Linked DNA regions of Diceros bicornis minor. The protein of the gene in region 1 interacts with the protein of each later gene in a pairwise test. Links are inferred from orthologs where the notes say so. Each region holds a gene or a part of one and is shown in the gene's direction. Other genes may lie near its edges.

The links.
Region 2: the proteins of C21H8orf33 (region 1) and HAP1 interact in a two-hybrid assay, tested with the Homo sapiens proteins (2 studies listed by BioGRID and IntAct). The link is inferred for Diceros bicornis minor from reciprocal best matches to the Homo sapiens genes C8orf33 and HAP1.

What each region holds. Positions count from the first base shown.
Region 1 is NC_080760.1:57,568,544-57,575,413, forward strand, and holds C21H8orf33 (UPF0488 protein C8orf33 homolog), read left to right. Parts: upstream 1-4,069; 5' UTR 4,070-4,174; coding exon 4,175-4,180; intron 4,181-4,265; coding exon 4,266-4,311; intron 4,312-4,389; coding exon 4,390-4,559; intron 4,560-4,711; coding exon 4,712-4,796; intron 4,797-4,945; coding exon 4,946-5,092; intron 5,093-5,463; coding exon 5,464-5,603; 3' UTR 5,604-6,079; downstream 6,080-6,870.
Region 2 is NC_080757.1:41,022,874-41,031,203, reverse strand, and holds the start of HAP1 (huntingtin-associated protein 1), read left to right. Parts: upstream 1-5,237; coding exon 5,238-5,715; intron 5,716-6,760; coding exon 6,761-6,840; intron 6,841-7,171; coding exon 7,172-7,360; intron 7,361-7,482; coding exon 7,483-7,673; intron 7,674-7,881; coding exon 7,882-7,987; intron 7,988-8,065; coding exon 8,066-8,132; intron 8,133-8,330. UniProt on the Homo sapiens protein: Originally identified as neuronal protein that specifically associates with HTT/huntingtin and the binding is enhanced by an expanded polyglutamine repeat within HTT possibly affecting HAP1 interaction properties.

The sequences.
Region 1 (6,870 bases):
GCTGTATGAGATGAAATCAACTTTAAGACCAAAGTCATTACTGTAGATAACAGAATGCCATTACATAATTCTGAAATGTTCATTTAGCCAGAAAGATACAAATATTTTAAATTCACAGAATAAAATAGTTTTAAATATACTTCAAAAATTGTAGAATTGCTAAGAGCAATACACAAACTCACCATCATAGTGGGAGGGTGTTACATGCCTTTTTCAATAATTGGTAGATCAGACAGACAAGAAAATCATTAAAGATTGTGGTTTTTTCCTTCCTGACACCAAATACATGGTGTCTTCTCCAACACCAGCTGGGAGTCCTATAATTCAGCTCAACTCGGACCCTAACTGCCTGGAGTTAGTGCAGACTGCACAGATTAAGGGCTCAGCCCACAAGACTGTCCCTACTTCAGACATAGTCACAGGTGTCAAGTGCCTGGGGCACTCACACTTCTGTGTGACTGAGCTACAAAGTCAGGGGTTCCCACATTCCGCCACCCCGGATTCAATAATTTGCTACAATGACTCACAGAACCCAGGAAAATGCTATACTTACTATTATAGTTTATTACAGAGGGTACAAATCAGTAGTCAGATGAAGAGGTACATAGGGGAGGTCTGAAAGTGTCCCAAGTGCAGGAGCCTCTGTCCCTGTGGAGTGGGGTGCACCACCCTGCCAGCACATGGATGTGTTCACCAGCTCAGAAGCTTCCCCAGATCACCTCGTTTAGAGGTTTTAATGGAGGTTTCCTTATGTAGGCATGATTGTGGCCATTGATGATTAACTCAGTCTCCAGCCCCTCTCCCCTCCCTGTAGATTGGGAGGTGGGGCTGAAAGTTCCAAGTTTCTAATAAGGCTTAGTATTTCTGGTGACCAGCCCCCATCCTGAAGCTGTCTAGGGGCTGGCCAAGAGTCATCTCATTAGAACAAAAGATGCTCCTATCATCCTTATCACTCAGGAAATTCCAAGGGGTTTTGGAGCTCTGTGCCATGAACTAAGGACAAAAATAAAATATTTTTCTTATTATACCATAAGTGTACATATGATTTGTGCCCCAATTTGAATCCTAATAGCAATTTAAAAATAGCATATGTAGGATTAGTTACAAAATGTGAAAGACTTTTAGGGAGAAAGTTATAAAGCTTTATTGAAGTTTATTGAAATATAATATTGAATGTTGAAAAATATTGAAGAAGACCTAATTAAATGGGAGGTATACTAGGTTCATGTTAGATTCATGATTGTTTAATACAGAGAATCAATTCTTCCCAAAATGCTCTACAGAATTAACTCATCTCACAAAAATGTCCAAGGAGACATTTCCATTTTTTAATGGAAATGAATAAGCTCATTTGAATATCAGACTTATAAAGGTTGGCAGTTAACCAGAGTGGCATTAGTGCTGGGACATACAAAGGCCTAATGGAACAAAGTGTAGAGTTCTGAAACACACCCATGTATATGTGGAAATGAGCTGCGATGGAGGTGGCTTTGCAGATCAGAATTCCACAAATGAGGTTAGGAAAGTTGATTATCCATATTTTAAAAATAAAATTGAATTCTACTTTACATGGACACAAAAATCAATTTCAGTTAGACTAAAAATCTGAATTTGAAAGGCAAAACCATAAACTTTTAGAAGAGGAAGTTAGCTCTATGATCCCAAGTTGAAAAATTCTTAAGACACAAAAAGGGGAAATAAAAAGATTGATACATTCAATGTTGTTAAAAAATAAGAATTTCTTTTCATCAAAGTACACTATAAAGAAAGTGAAAAGACAAGCTGCGGAGTGGGAAAAGATGTTTATAACATATGCAACTGACAAAAGATGAATATTTATAATATGTAAATAACTTCTATGCCTTCAATAAGAAACAGTGGATCAGATAGAAAAATGAACAGAAGACATAAACAAGAACTTTATAGAAAGAGAAACATTAGTGGCCAATAAATATTATGACAAGATGCTCAGAAAAACGAAAATTAAAATCTCAGTGTGATACTATTTTGCACCCATCACACTGACAATTTAAAAGTCTGATAATACCAAATAGTGAAGCTGTGAACATATAAATTCTAATACACTGCTGGTGGGAGTGTAACCTGGTACAACCACTTTGGAAAATTGATGCTGATATTATCTGGGAAAGTAGAAAATGTGGATAACCCTACAACTCTGCTTTTCCACTCCTAGATATATCTTAGAGAAATTCCTGCACAAAGGGGACATACAAGAATATTCCTAGTGCATTGTGAATAATAGCAAAAAAATGGAAGAAGTGCAAATATTTATTGATGTGTCTCCTTATACTGTGGAATATCATCACCAGTGAAGACAATGAACTACAGCTGTACACAGCAACATGCATAACCCTCACAACATACTGAGGAAAAAACAAGCTTAAGAACACATACAGGGGCCGGACCCATGGCTTAGCGGTTAAGTGCGTGCACTACGCTACTGGCGGCCCAGGTTCAGATCCCCGGGGGCGCACGAGGCACCGCTTCTCCGGCCATGCTGAGGCCACGTCCCACATACAGCAACTAGAAGGATGTGCAACTATGACATACAACTATCTACTGGGGCTTTGGGGGAGAAAAAAAGGAGGAGGATTGGCAATAGATGTTAGCTCAGAGCCGGTCTTCCTCAGCAAAAAGAGGAGGATTAGCATGGATGTTAGCTCAGGGCTGATCTTCCTCACAAAAAACAAAAACAAAAACAAAACAAAACAAAAAAAACACATACAGATGATTTAATGTATTTAAAGTTCAAAACGTGCAAAACTAAACAATATTGTTTAGAGATCCATATTTGTGTTATATAAGTATCAAGAAAAGCAAAGAAATGGTCAATTTCAATGTAGTTGTTTTCTCTGAAGGGAGGAATGGATTATGACCTTGGAAGGAAGGGCACATAGGGTCCTCAAAGATATTGATAATGTTCTGGTTCTTAAACTGGGTGGTAGATACATGCATTTTAATGATTTTTACCTTAAAATACGTTTATATATACAGTCAATCTTCATTACTGTGGATTCCATATTTGCAAATTTGCCTACTTGCTAGAACTTATTTGTAACCCCAAAATCTAAACTAGTGCTTTCATGGTCATTCACGGACATTCACAGAGCAGTGAAAAATCCGTCACCAGACTTCACAGCTGAGGCTGACCAAGGTGACACTCTGCTTTCTTGTTTCAGCTCTTATATTGTAAACCTGTGTCCTTGTCACAGTATATTCAGTGCCACACTTTTTGCATTTTTGTGCTTTTTGTTGGTGCTTTTGCTGTTTAAAATGGCCCTCAAGCATAGTGCTGAAGTGCTGTCTAGTGTTCCTAACTGCAAGAAGGCTGTGATGTGCCTCACGGAGGAAATATGTGTCCAGATAACTTCATTCAGGCATGAGTCATAGTGCTGTTGGCCATGAGCTCAATGTTAGTAAATCAACTACATATATTTTAAAAAGTGTCTTTAACAGAAGCACACGTAAAACAAGGTTATTTTCAAGGTTGTTGAAAATATCATGAACGGTGGCTGCCAGGAACTGAACTGTATTTCCCCTAGAAGCAATGGTTCAGTATTCTCAGCCACTTCATAGAACTACCTCACATAATGAGAATTGACTGCATATTTGCACGTATGAAGGTGGTAATACATTTTCCAAGGAGGCTAGGAGAGCAGGCCGAGCAAACATCGTTTTAGCGGAGACTGGTGTGTCTCAAGAGCGAGGACGCAGCCGTGGTGGCGGAGAGTGGACGCGAGGCGTGGGGTCTGAGCGGCCGTGGAGGCGCGGACAGCGGGAGAGCTGGCGGGGCCCGGGAGCCTTCACCACACGCCAGGGCGGGGCGCGGAGAGGAGTTCGGGGACCGCTGACGGGGCCGCCTGGGTCCTCCACACCTTCCTCTCTCAGGTTCTTCAAGGACCTGCTGCCGGGTTCTGGGGGTTGAAGAGGCGCTAGTACCGCCAGGGAAAACAAACGAGGCGGCTGTGAGGTGCTGAAGGATCGACGGGGCCACAACAGAGTGAGAGCTGGGCCTGGCTCCGCTCCGGGCGGGCGCCGCCCGCCGCCCGCCGCCCGCTCGCGCCCGGAACGCTGCGCCGCGGGCGCGTTGCTGGAGGAGCGAATTCGGCGTGGGACCCGAGGACCTACGTGGGTTCCGGCGGCGACCTGGCGCATGGCGGTGAGCGGGGCGGGGAGGGCGCGCGGGCGGCGGGGCCTGGCGCCGTGGCGGCCCCCGTGATCCTCGTGCTGCCCCCTTTCTCCAGGCCCTGGGACATCCTGCTCGGGAGACAGCGGCGGCCCCAGGTCCAGGTACCGCGCGCGCGCCCCGCGGCCCCGGCTTCCCGGGTCCCTCCGCTGTAGGGTCCCACCCGGTCCGTTTCCGCCCAGGGCCCCCCGCGCGCGGGGACGCGCGCCCCGTAGGCGGTGGAGGCGAGGCGGACGCTAAGAAGCAGAAGAAGAGAAAGAAAACCCGGAAGGGGCCCTCTGTGGCGAATCCGGGCAGCAAGGCCCCCGAAGAGCCGGCCCCAGAGGAAGCACCCTTGAGCGCGGAGGCCCAGGCAAGGGCGGCCTCGGTCGGGAGGGTGGAGTCTGCCCGCGGTGTGCGCTCAGATTTGCGGGTGGAGGTGGCGGAGGATGGGATGGGGGCGTGGGGGTCGCTGTGGGGTGGGCCTGGAGGCCCTCTCGCAGCCACTACCCCCATCCATCACAGGCGGAGCAGCTGGCTCGGGAACTGGCCTGGTGCGTGGAGCAGCTGGAGCTAGGCCTCAAGACGCGGAGACCCAGCCCGAGACAGAGTGAGGGGCCCGTCTGTAGAGTTGGTGGGGCGGTGAATGGTGACAGTGCTCTGGGCTGTAGGTGCTGCCCGGGTGGAATTGTTGCCTTTGCGGTAGGACGATAGGAGGAGAGGATAGAGGAGGCCACTAGTCCTTTTTTTTTTCCGCAGGAGAGCAGGCTGTTGGGGCAATCCGAACCCTGCACAGCGAAAGAACCCCCCTGCCCCGGAAGAGGCAGCTGATGCGCTCCTTGTTTGGGGACTACAGGGCTCAGATGGAAGGCGAGTGGCGCGAAGCCCTGCGGGCCCTCCGGACTGGTGAGGACCCGGGAACTGGTTGATTCAGGGCAGCCTAATTCAAGGGTTGGGGAAGAAGAGCCTAGGGAGTGAAAGAAAGAAGCTTAGAGCCACATGGCTGGCGGGAGGAGGAGACTGGCTCAGGGAAACCTCAGGGAGCGGGGAATGAGAAAGCTCGGACCTCGGGAACACAGAATTTGGGCCTAGACCAGGGAGACGAGCAGGAGAGTTAGTGAATTACTCTTTGATTCTAAAAGGAGTGTGATGATACTACCTACCTCATAATTTTGAGAAGTCAGTTAAATTTATACAAAGCAGTTAGAATTGTGGGGGCAGAGGTAATGTTAGCTGTTGTTATTCAGTCCTCATGCTGTCTCTCTCTTCTCCCGCAGCAGCCCAGTCAGCCCAGGTGCAGCCTGTAGGTGAGGCCGCCAGAAAGAAGAGTGGAAGGGTCTGCAGGCCTCACCTAGCAGGGGGAGCCAAGGCCACCCTGGACACTCCTGATGAAGAGTTTAGGTTCAATTTCTTTTAGCCTCTCCCCCATCCTGGAACAGTCCCTCTCCGTGAGTGGTGTGGGGGTTTATCTTGGGTGCAGAGCCTTTCCAGGAATGCTCTGTGGGACAGATGTGGGGTTGGTCTGTCCCTGGCTGGTCAGTGAGTCTGGTGCCGTTTTTTGGGCAGATGTGAGACCAGCATATTGGGTACTGTCAGACAAGCACGAGACCCCCATTTGTAGGTCTTCAGGTGAATTGTTCCTCCTGCCAGAAGAGGGAAGTCCGTTTAGAAAAGCTTCAACAATAAGCTGAAGTGAGTGTTCAGCATGTTATAGAAAGAATATTTTAGTCAGTCTTTAGTGTTAGATGTAGTAGCTGTTGGTAGTGAGGAATGGTGGGAAAGCTGTGTGATTGTGCACTGGTGCTCACTTAGGAAAGGAGGTCCTGCCACATGGTGTGGTGCTTTCTCTCGTGATGTCACGTTGCCCCAATAAAACTAATTTTTATAAAAGTGGATGAGTGAAAGCGTGTGCTAACCGTGTGTGCTAGAGGAAGTACAGATGAGGCAGGCGTCTGGCAGTGCTGGATCCAGGCTCTCACCCCAGTGCTTGGTCATTTTTGTTGCCTTCATTTCTGAGCAATTCATCCTCAGGGAGCCAGTGTGGCTCCCAGCAGGCCAGGCTTTGTTCTTAGGAGCAGAGAGCTTCTTGGCCTAACAGTCCCCGCCAAAGACTCGGGTTAAGCCTCGGTGGATGACCTCTCTAAATGTTGGCTGCTCCAGGCGATAGTCCCAGGCCTTCTGCTGCATTGAATCAGGTTTTCCAGGTGGCTTAATCCTCCTCAGTGGCTGTGATGCCATTTTGGTGGTATCTCCCAAACTTGCATCTCAGACTAGATAGAAGCCCGGAGCCCAGCTGCCTACTCAGCATCTCTACTTGGATGTTTCATGGGCATTTCAAATTTGGCATGTTCAAAACATCCGATCAACCTCTAAATCTCCCTTCGTCTTCTGCTTTTCAGTGAATGACACTACTGTCCACCTAGTTGATTAAGCCAAAAACCTGGAGCATCCTCAGTTGTTCTGGTTCTCCAACACATATGCTAAATACTTCAGCTGGTATGTGAGTTCTGTCTGCAAAATAAATCTCATCTTTTGTGCTGTCTTCACTGCTAGGCGTTCTAGTCCTCGCCCCATCTCTTACTCTGAAGCTGTGTGAGCCTCCAGGTGTTAGTCTGCATTACACCCACTCTTGCCTGTTCAGAGCAGCCAGAGCGATCCTCCTCGTATGTCGAGTCCTATTTCTT
Region 2 (8,330 bases), on another chromosome or scaffold:
CAACTCACGGCCGACCTGTGTTATCTATGTCCCCACCTGCCTCCCCTTCCTTCGTTACTTTGAAGCAAATCCCAGACATCACTTCATACAAGAAATTCAGTATCTGTCTCTAAAAGATAAGGGCCTTTTTAAAAAATGTAAGGACGTCAGTAGGTGAATGGATTAACAGACCATGGTACATCCAGGCGATGCAATATTATTCAGCGATAAAAAGAAATGAGCTATCTAGCCGTGAAAAGACATGGAAGAACGTTAAATACATATTACTAAGTGAAAGAAGGCAATCTGAAAAAGCTGCATACTGTATGATTCCAACTCTATGACATTCTGGAAAAGGCAAAACTAAGAGACAGTAAGAAGATCAGTGTTGCCAGGGGTTGGGGGGAAGGAGGGATGAATAGGCAGACCACAGAGGATTTTTAGGGCAATGAAAATACTCTGTATGATACAATAATGCTTGAAATAGGTCATTATACATTTGTCCAAACCCACAGAATGTACAACACCAAGATGAACCCTAATGTAAACTATGGACTTCAGGTGATTATGATCTGTCAATGTAGGTTCATCAGTCATAACACATGTACCACTCTGGTGGGGGATGTTGATAATGGGGGAGGCTGTGCATGTCTCGGGGCAGGAGGTATATGGGAACTCTCTGTGCTTTTTTCTCAGTTTTGCTATAAACCTAAAACTCCTCTAAAATATAAACTTTATTTTTTTAAAAAAGATAATATGTGAGAGTGATGGAAATACTCATTATCTTGATTGTGATGATAGTTTCATGAGCGTTATATCAAAACATCAAATTTTACATTTTAGGTATGTACAGTTACAAATGTCAATTATTCCTCAATAAAGCTGTTTGAAAAAAAAGGAATGAAGTATTGATGTATAGTGCAACATGGATGAACCTTGAAAACATTGTGCTAAGTGAAAGAAGCTAGACACAAAAGGCCACATCCTGTATGATTCCATTTATATGAAATGCCCAGAATAGGCAAATCCATCGAGATAGAAAGCAGATTAGTGGTTGCCAGGGGTTTGGGGGAGAGGGGAATATGGAATGACTATTAATGGGTATGGGGTTTTATTCTGGGGTGATGAAAATGTTCTGAAATTAGATAGTGGTGATGGTTGCACAACTCTGTGAATATACCAAAAACCACTGACTGGACACTTTAAAATCATGAATTTTATGGTATGTGAATTATATCTCAATAAAGTTGTTAATTTTTTTTTAATAATTTTATTTATTTATTTTTTCCCCCAAAGCCCCAGTAGATAGTTGTATGTCATAGGTGCACATCCTTCTAGTTGCTGTATGTGGGACGCGGCCTCAGCATGGCCGGAGAAGCGGTACGTCGGTGTGCCCCCGGGATCTGAACCCAGGCCACCAGCAGAGGAGGGCGCACACTTAACCGCTAAGCCACCGGGCCGGCCCAAAGTTGTTAATTTTTTAATAATTTTTTCTTTTTGTGAGGAAGACCAGCCCTCAGCTAACATCCATGCCAATCCTCCTCTTTTTGCTGAGGAAGACTGGCCCTGAGCTAACATCTATAGCCAATCTTCCTCCTTTTTTTTTTCCCTTTTTCTCCCCAAAGCCCCAGTAGATAGCTGTATGTCATAGTTGCACATCCTTCTAGTTGCTGTATGTGGGACGCGGCCTCAGCATGGCGGGACAAGTGGTGCGTCAGCGCGCGCCTGGGATCCGAACCTGGGCCGCCAGTAGCAGAGCGCGCGCACTTAACCGCTAAGCCACGGGGCCGGCCCAATTTTTCAAAAAGACTTATAAGGTTGTTATGGACTAAATGTTTGTGTCCCCCCACCCCACCCCAAATCATATGCTGAAATCCTAATCCCCAGTGTGATGGTATTAGGACGTGGGGCCTTGGGGAGGTGATTAGGTCATGAGGGTGGAGCCTCATGAACGGGAATTGTGGCCATATAAAAGAGGCCCCCGAGAGCTCCCTCACCCCTTCCTCCACGTGAGGACACAAGGGGAAGACAAGACAACAGTCTATGAACCAGGAAGCAGGTCCTCACCAGACACCCAATCTGCTGGCATCTTGATCTTGGACTTCCAGCCTCCAGAGCTGTGAGAAATAAATTTCTGTTGTTGGTATTTTGTTATAGCAGTCTGAAGGGACTAAGACACCCCCCCTCCATCTGTCTATTCTCAGCCGAACAGCCAGAGCCTTCCTGCTAAAACTTAAGTCAGATCGTGTCGCTCCTGTGATGAAAAGCCCTCCACGGACTCAGGTAAGGTGGTCCATCGGCCCTGCTGCCCCCTTCCTGACCCCATCACCCACAATCCCGTCTCCTTGTTCCATTTTAGCCATTTTGACCTCCTCTGGCTGCAAGGCTGTGCATTTGCTGTTGCTTCTCACCAGGTGAATATCCTCCCTTGCTCCCTCCCTCCCTCAGCTCTGGACTTAGTGACTCTTCAGTGAGATCTTTCCTGACCCCCCTAATATTTAAACTTGCAACCCACAGCCCACCCCCCACCCCCAGGCCCTCCTCCCTGCTTTCTTTTAATCCACAGCACTCGTCACATCTAATACACTATGTGATTTACTCCTTTGTTTATTATTTGTAGCTCCCATTGCATGTGGGCCCTATGAGGCCAAAGATCTTTGTTTTGCTCACTGATGTGTTCCCAGCACCTGCCACAATGCCTGGCACCAGGTGCTTAATAACTGTTTGTTGAATGAATAATTATTGGAAGATAATTTAGGGGGCCGAGAAGAGTTGAGATGAAAGAAGAAATGAAGCTAACAAATATTAAAGTTGCTAAAGATTAGAACCATAAAAAAGGGCAGCATGTGAAAAGCATAGAGAGCAGCTGTGGATCTTAGACGTCCCATCTGTTTATCCAAGGCCTCTGGCCTGAGCCACCCTTAACCACCTGGCAGAAGTGCCCTGGAGCCTGTATGGGAGGAGGAGCAGAAGAGGGAGCAGGGGTCAGGGTGGGCAAGGGTTGGGAGGAGTTTGAGTTCCCCAGGGGAGCCACTTCCTTATTTCCCTGCCCATGAGGGGGCTGCATTTGGAGCCCTGACTTCAGAAACCACGTAACTAGTGAGCACTGCCCCTTTGATAGAGAGGTGAATCCCTGCAGGGCTGATGCAGGTGTGAGGGATTTAGGGCTGGGGAGGCGAATTGGTACCAGGGTTCGCTCACCAATCAGGAATGAGAAACGCTGGCTCCTGAGGAGAGAGGCTGCCATTTGAGGGGGGCAGGGATGAGTGGGCTGCGAAGACCGAAGACCGGGGGTGTGGGCTGAGATGCAAAATCCTATGCCATTAGTGATTTCTCCCCTCCCACCCAGAGCACCGGGTCTGATGGGTACTTTCCATTTTTCTCAACGGTAGCTCCCTGTTTGCTTCTCTCAGAGAACGCACCACACTCTGTAATTATCTTGTTTCCTTGTTTATCTGCTTCCCCTTCTAGGCTCTAACCTCCAGGACAGTAGGGGTCTGGTTCTCTTGTTTCCTGCTCTGGCCTGCGAGTCTAGGACAGTGCCTGGTATAGAGAGGAGGCACTTAATATACGTTTGTCAAATGAATTAACGAGCTCAGACAGACGGAAACATTCTTCTCCAAGTGCTTCTCCATAGGAGAGCTGGTGGAGGGGGCACTTTGATTCTCCTTCCTGGGTTGTGTCTCTTGTTCTGTGCTGTCACGGACACCTGGCCCCAAAGGCATGCTGTCAGCACTAGGACCCTCTGTCCTAGGTGCAGACCTTGGGCAACAGCCTGTCCTGGGCTCAGGCTTGGAGTGGTGGCTGTGGAGAAGGGGTCCTGGAATTCCTTAGCTCAGACAGGAGTATGAGAGGGATGGACTAGAGATGGATTCACGTGGGTGGGGTTGGGGGGAGAGGTGAGTATCACAATAATCTAGAAGAGAGGATGAGGCCTCACCAGCAGAAGGGCTGAAGAGGCAAGGGCACATTTGAGAAATATTTAGGAGGTAAATTAAGCATGACTTGGTGAGTGATTGGGTATTGAAGAGAAGGAAACTGGGGGACCGAGAATGATCCCAAGGCTTTAAAAGACTCAGAGCCACAGCCATCTCTTTTTGGCCTGTAGGTTCCTCCAGTCCAAAGGCACAGAAATGGCTACTGGACTCCTCTGCCAGCCCACAGGTCATGCAGGACTTACGGCGACCCTCGTAGGTATCTGGTCTGTGCTGCGCTCCGATGGACACGCTCCCTGCGGTGAAGGGTGGCAGTCTGCTCTTGGAGACAAACACACTCCGACCACTGCCGGCCAGCGAATAAGGAATGCTCTGGCGCGTGGGAGACGGGGTCAGAGGAGTCTTCTCAGGGAGACATCTAAGCGGGGTCTGCCGGAAGAACACGTGTTCCCCAGGATGGAAGGAAGTGGGCAAAGTGAATGAGGGCTGGAGGTGAAGCAGGAGGAAAGGCAGTAAGACAAATAAATAAGAAAGGGGGCTGTCGGGGCGGCCCCGTGGCATAGCGGTCAAGTTTGCGCGCTCCGCTTTGGCGGCCGGGGGTTCGCAGGCCCTGAACCCGGCGCCGACCCACGCACCGCTCATTAAGCCATGTTGTGGCAGCATCCCATATAAAGTAGAGGAAGATGGGCATGGATGTTAGCTCACGGCCAATCTTCCTCACAAAAAAAAAAAGGGGGGGGGGACTGCCCAGTGGCTCCAGCGCGCGGGGGTGGGGGTGGGGGTGGGGGTGGGGGTCGGTGTCAGGCTGAGCGCGAGGATCAGCTTGTGACGCGCCAGGCCAGGCAGCGCGTGGAAACCGAACAGGAGTTTGGATTGATCCCTCAGCCAAGGGGAAAGACACAATACTGTCCTAACTCACAGGTCACCCCGGCCCAGACCCAGAGAAGGCAGTCAAAAACCCCTGCAAGGGAGCAGAGGGAGAGGGTGCCCCCAGTTAGGGACCTCCGAGTCGCTGTACCCGAATCCCGGAGAAGCGGCTTTGGGCAAAACCATTCTCCGGAGGTGGAGAGGGGAGGAAAAGCCCTACACTCGGAACCCAAGCCCACGGAACCAGCTGGAACCTTCACTGGCCTCTTCTCCTCGCTCTTCTCTTGTTTTTACCCTCTGCTCTGCCACCATTAGCTGCCCTCCTGCGCTACCCCCCGTCCCGGGCACCACTAGTTGCTCCTCGGCCGCCCCTCCCGCGCGTGGTAAGGCCCGGCGGGCGCGCGCTCCCGGCACAGGTTATAAAGGCCCGGCTGCGGCAGCCGACTGCGGAGCAAGATGCGCCCGAAAGACTGTGGGCAGAGCTGCGCTGGGGACCGGCCGGGCCCAGGACCCGGGGATCCGGCAGCAGCCACCCCCGCACTGCCACCCGCAGCCAGTCCCGCTCCTGAGCCCTCCGCCGAGCCTGAAGCCGCTCCTGCGCACGCAGCGGCGGCTGGACAAGGAGCAGGATCTGGATCCCCATCCGTCTCGGGACCCCCAGCCGGAGTTCGCTTGGCCTCCGAGGCTGGATCGGAGGCAGGATCCCAGCGCGCATCTGCATTCTCGGCCGTCCAGGGGAATGCCCAGTCCGTGCCCGGCGACTCGGATGTGCCATGGACCCACTTCATATTTCAAGGGCCCTTTGGTCCCCGGGCCACTGGCCTGGGCACTGGAAAGGCGGCGGACATCTGGAAGACGCCAGCTGCCTACATTGGCCGGCGGCCGGGGGTGTCGGGCCCCGAGCGTGCCGCCTTTATTCGGGAGCTAGAGGAAGGTAAACCGAGTCCTCTGGACCCCGAAGCGAGTGGGACTAGGGCAGCTCCAGGGAGGAGGGGGCCCCGTCGGGTCCAGGTGCCCCGCTCCCCCGACACTCAGTCCCACCCCTCCACCCGCCCTCGCCGTGTCACTGTCTGCGGTGCCAGTCCGGTCGCCTCTTCCCCATCTCCTCTTCCCTTCTCTCGCTCCCTGATTTCTGTGGGTGGGTCAGGTGCCCGGGCCCGCGCGCTCCCTCGGCCCGCTCTGCGCGCCTGTTGCTGCGGTAGATCTGAGCACTCTCAGGGCCCCCCTCCTCAGTCTACCGCAGTGCCAGGAGCGGGGCGGGGGGCTGCGGGAGGGCGCTGCCCGGCGCGCTCTGAGCCTGCGCTGGCCCACCGCGCCCGCGATGGGGAGGTGTGTGGGAGGAGGGGGGGGGTTGCCAGCCTATTGGAGGCGGGGGTCAAGGTCGGCTTTTCCCCAGCCTGGGGTTGGGCGGGGCCTCAGGCGGAGTCTGCCCCTCCTCTTCCCTCCCATCCTCTTCTGGGAGATCTCTGGATTGGGTCTAGAGGCTCAGGTGCCCCTATTCCAGTGCTGGAGAAGTCTCTAACTCCTCTCCTCCCCACATGCAACAGGTGCAGGGTGGGAGACTGCGTCTGTGTTTATGATCCGTGAGGCTCCGATGAGCTGGCCAAGCTGCCCTCTGGGTAGCTGGTGATGAGTCAGTCTGTGGTACTTCCGCCAGCCACCTCCATTCTCCTGGGTTCCACGGACCCAGGCGTCCTGAGAGCGCAGTTCCGCCTGAGCCTGGAGGACTGTGATCTCCTTACCTCACCCAGCTCCTCCAGAAAAAAAATGAGTCCAGTTGGCCCTGGGAGCAGGGAAGGGAGTGCTGAGTACTAGGGGTATGGAGAGGATATTGGGGGCAGGAAGGGAACTCAGTCTTCTCCTCCCCTGTTGCTGACTCTCACTGTTGAGGGAGAACTGGGGATAGGGCAGGAAACAGTGGGGTACTGGTTAGTGTATGCCCCCTTTCTCCTGACCTGGCTGCCTGCTTTCTCTTGCAGTGCTGTGTCCTGACCGACCCCCGCCAGGCAAGAAGATCAGCCAAGAAGATGTGCAAGTGATGTTAAATCTGCTCGAGGAGGTCTGTACTGCCTGGCCTACCTGGACCAGCCTGAGCTTTCGCCAGGCCCCTGTTTTAATTCTGTCCTGTAGGAGTAGGAGTCTTGTCTGTTTCCTGCCTGGCTGCCTCTTTGGGGGCCCCTCTTACAGAAGGCAGGTCGATGTGGGATGTCCAGGCTGGAAGAGCTCTTAGAGCCCTCTGGTCTGATCTGTTCTTTTTTCATAAGGGGAAACTGAGTCAGGCCCCACAGTGGGTTAACGGCGGACTCTTGTCTAGTACCCTGGAGAGCTGCGAGATGGTGAGGGTTCCCCCTAGTGGCCTAGCTTCCCTCTGACGCCTGTGTACTCCCTAGCTTCTCCCACCTGTCTGGGAGATCTCAGAAACCAGGAAAGTATTCCCTGTGGATGGGGGGGTCCCTCTGCAGAGAGAGCGGGACCTGAATACGGCAGCTCGCATCGGCCAGTCCCTGGTGAAGCAGAACAATGTTCTGATGGAGGAGAACAGCAAGCTGGAAGCCATGCTGGGCTCAGCCAGGGAGGAGGTAACTGGGTAGGGAGTAGGGGGTAGGGGTATGCCATCTCAGACCTACCTACATCCCCCTCCTGCCAGGACCCGTGCCTGCCCCGCCCGCGGCCTGACCTGGGGCTCCTCTCCCCCTGCCAGATTTTACACCTCAGACACCAGGTGAGCTTGCGGGATGACCTCCTTCAGCTCTACTCAGACTCTGATGATGAGGAGGAAGAGGAGGAGGAGGAGGAGGAAGAAGAAGAAGAGGAGGAAGAGGAAGAGGAGGAGGAAGAGGAGGAGGAAGAGGAAGAGCAGCAGAGTGATCTTCCTTATGAAGACCCCGAGCTGTGAGTGCCCTGCCTTTGCACCTGAGCGGCCCCTTCTCTGAGCCTCAGTTTCCTTGTTTGCAAATAGGGACACAGACAGCGTCCCTGCCAGCAGGATTGCTGGGGCTGGTTGAGACCACCATGCTCAGCCCGGGTGGGGGAGCCCTGGGTGCACCGGGCCCTGGGGCTCCCAGTCCTGCCCTCTGACTCCCATCGCTCTCTCCCCTAGGACACCTCTGACGGAGTCGGAGTCGCTGCACCACTGCCCACAGCTGGAAGCCCTGCAGGAGCAGCTGAGGCTGCTGGAGGAGGAGAATGACCAGCTGAGAGAGGAGGTGAGGATGGGGGAGGAGGGTGCGCCCGCGGGCAGGGGGTGTTGACTCCCCTGCCCCTTCCTCTCTCCCTTCCTCCAGGCCTCTCAGCTCGATGCCCTTGAGGAGGAGGAGCAGATGCTCATTCTGGATTGTGTGGAGCAGTTTTGTACGTGAAATTGTAACTTGGGGTGGGGGCTGTCCCAGGGAGCAGAGGGAAGAACTCAGGTCTTGGAGACCTGAGTTCAAGTCCAGTCCCACCTCTGGCACTTCCTAGCTGTGTGAGCTTGGACAAGTTCCTTGACCTTTCTGAACCGTCATCTTTAGAATGGGGATTAATAATCTCAGCCCTGTTGACCTTCTCAGG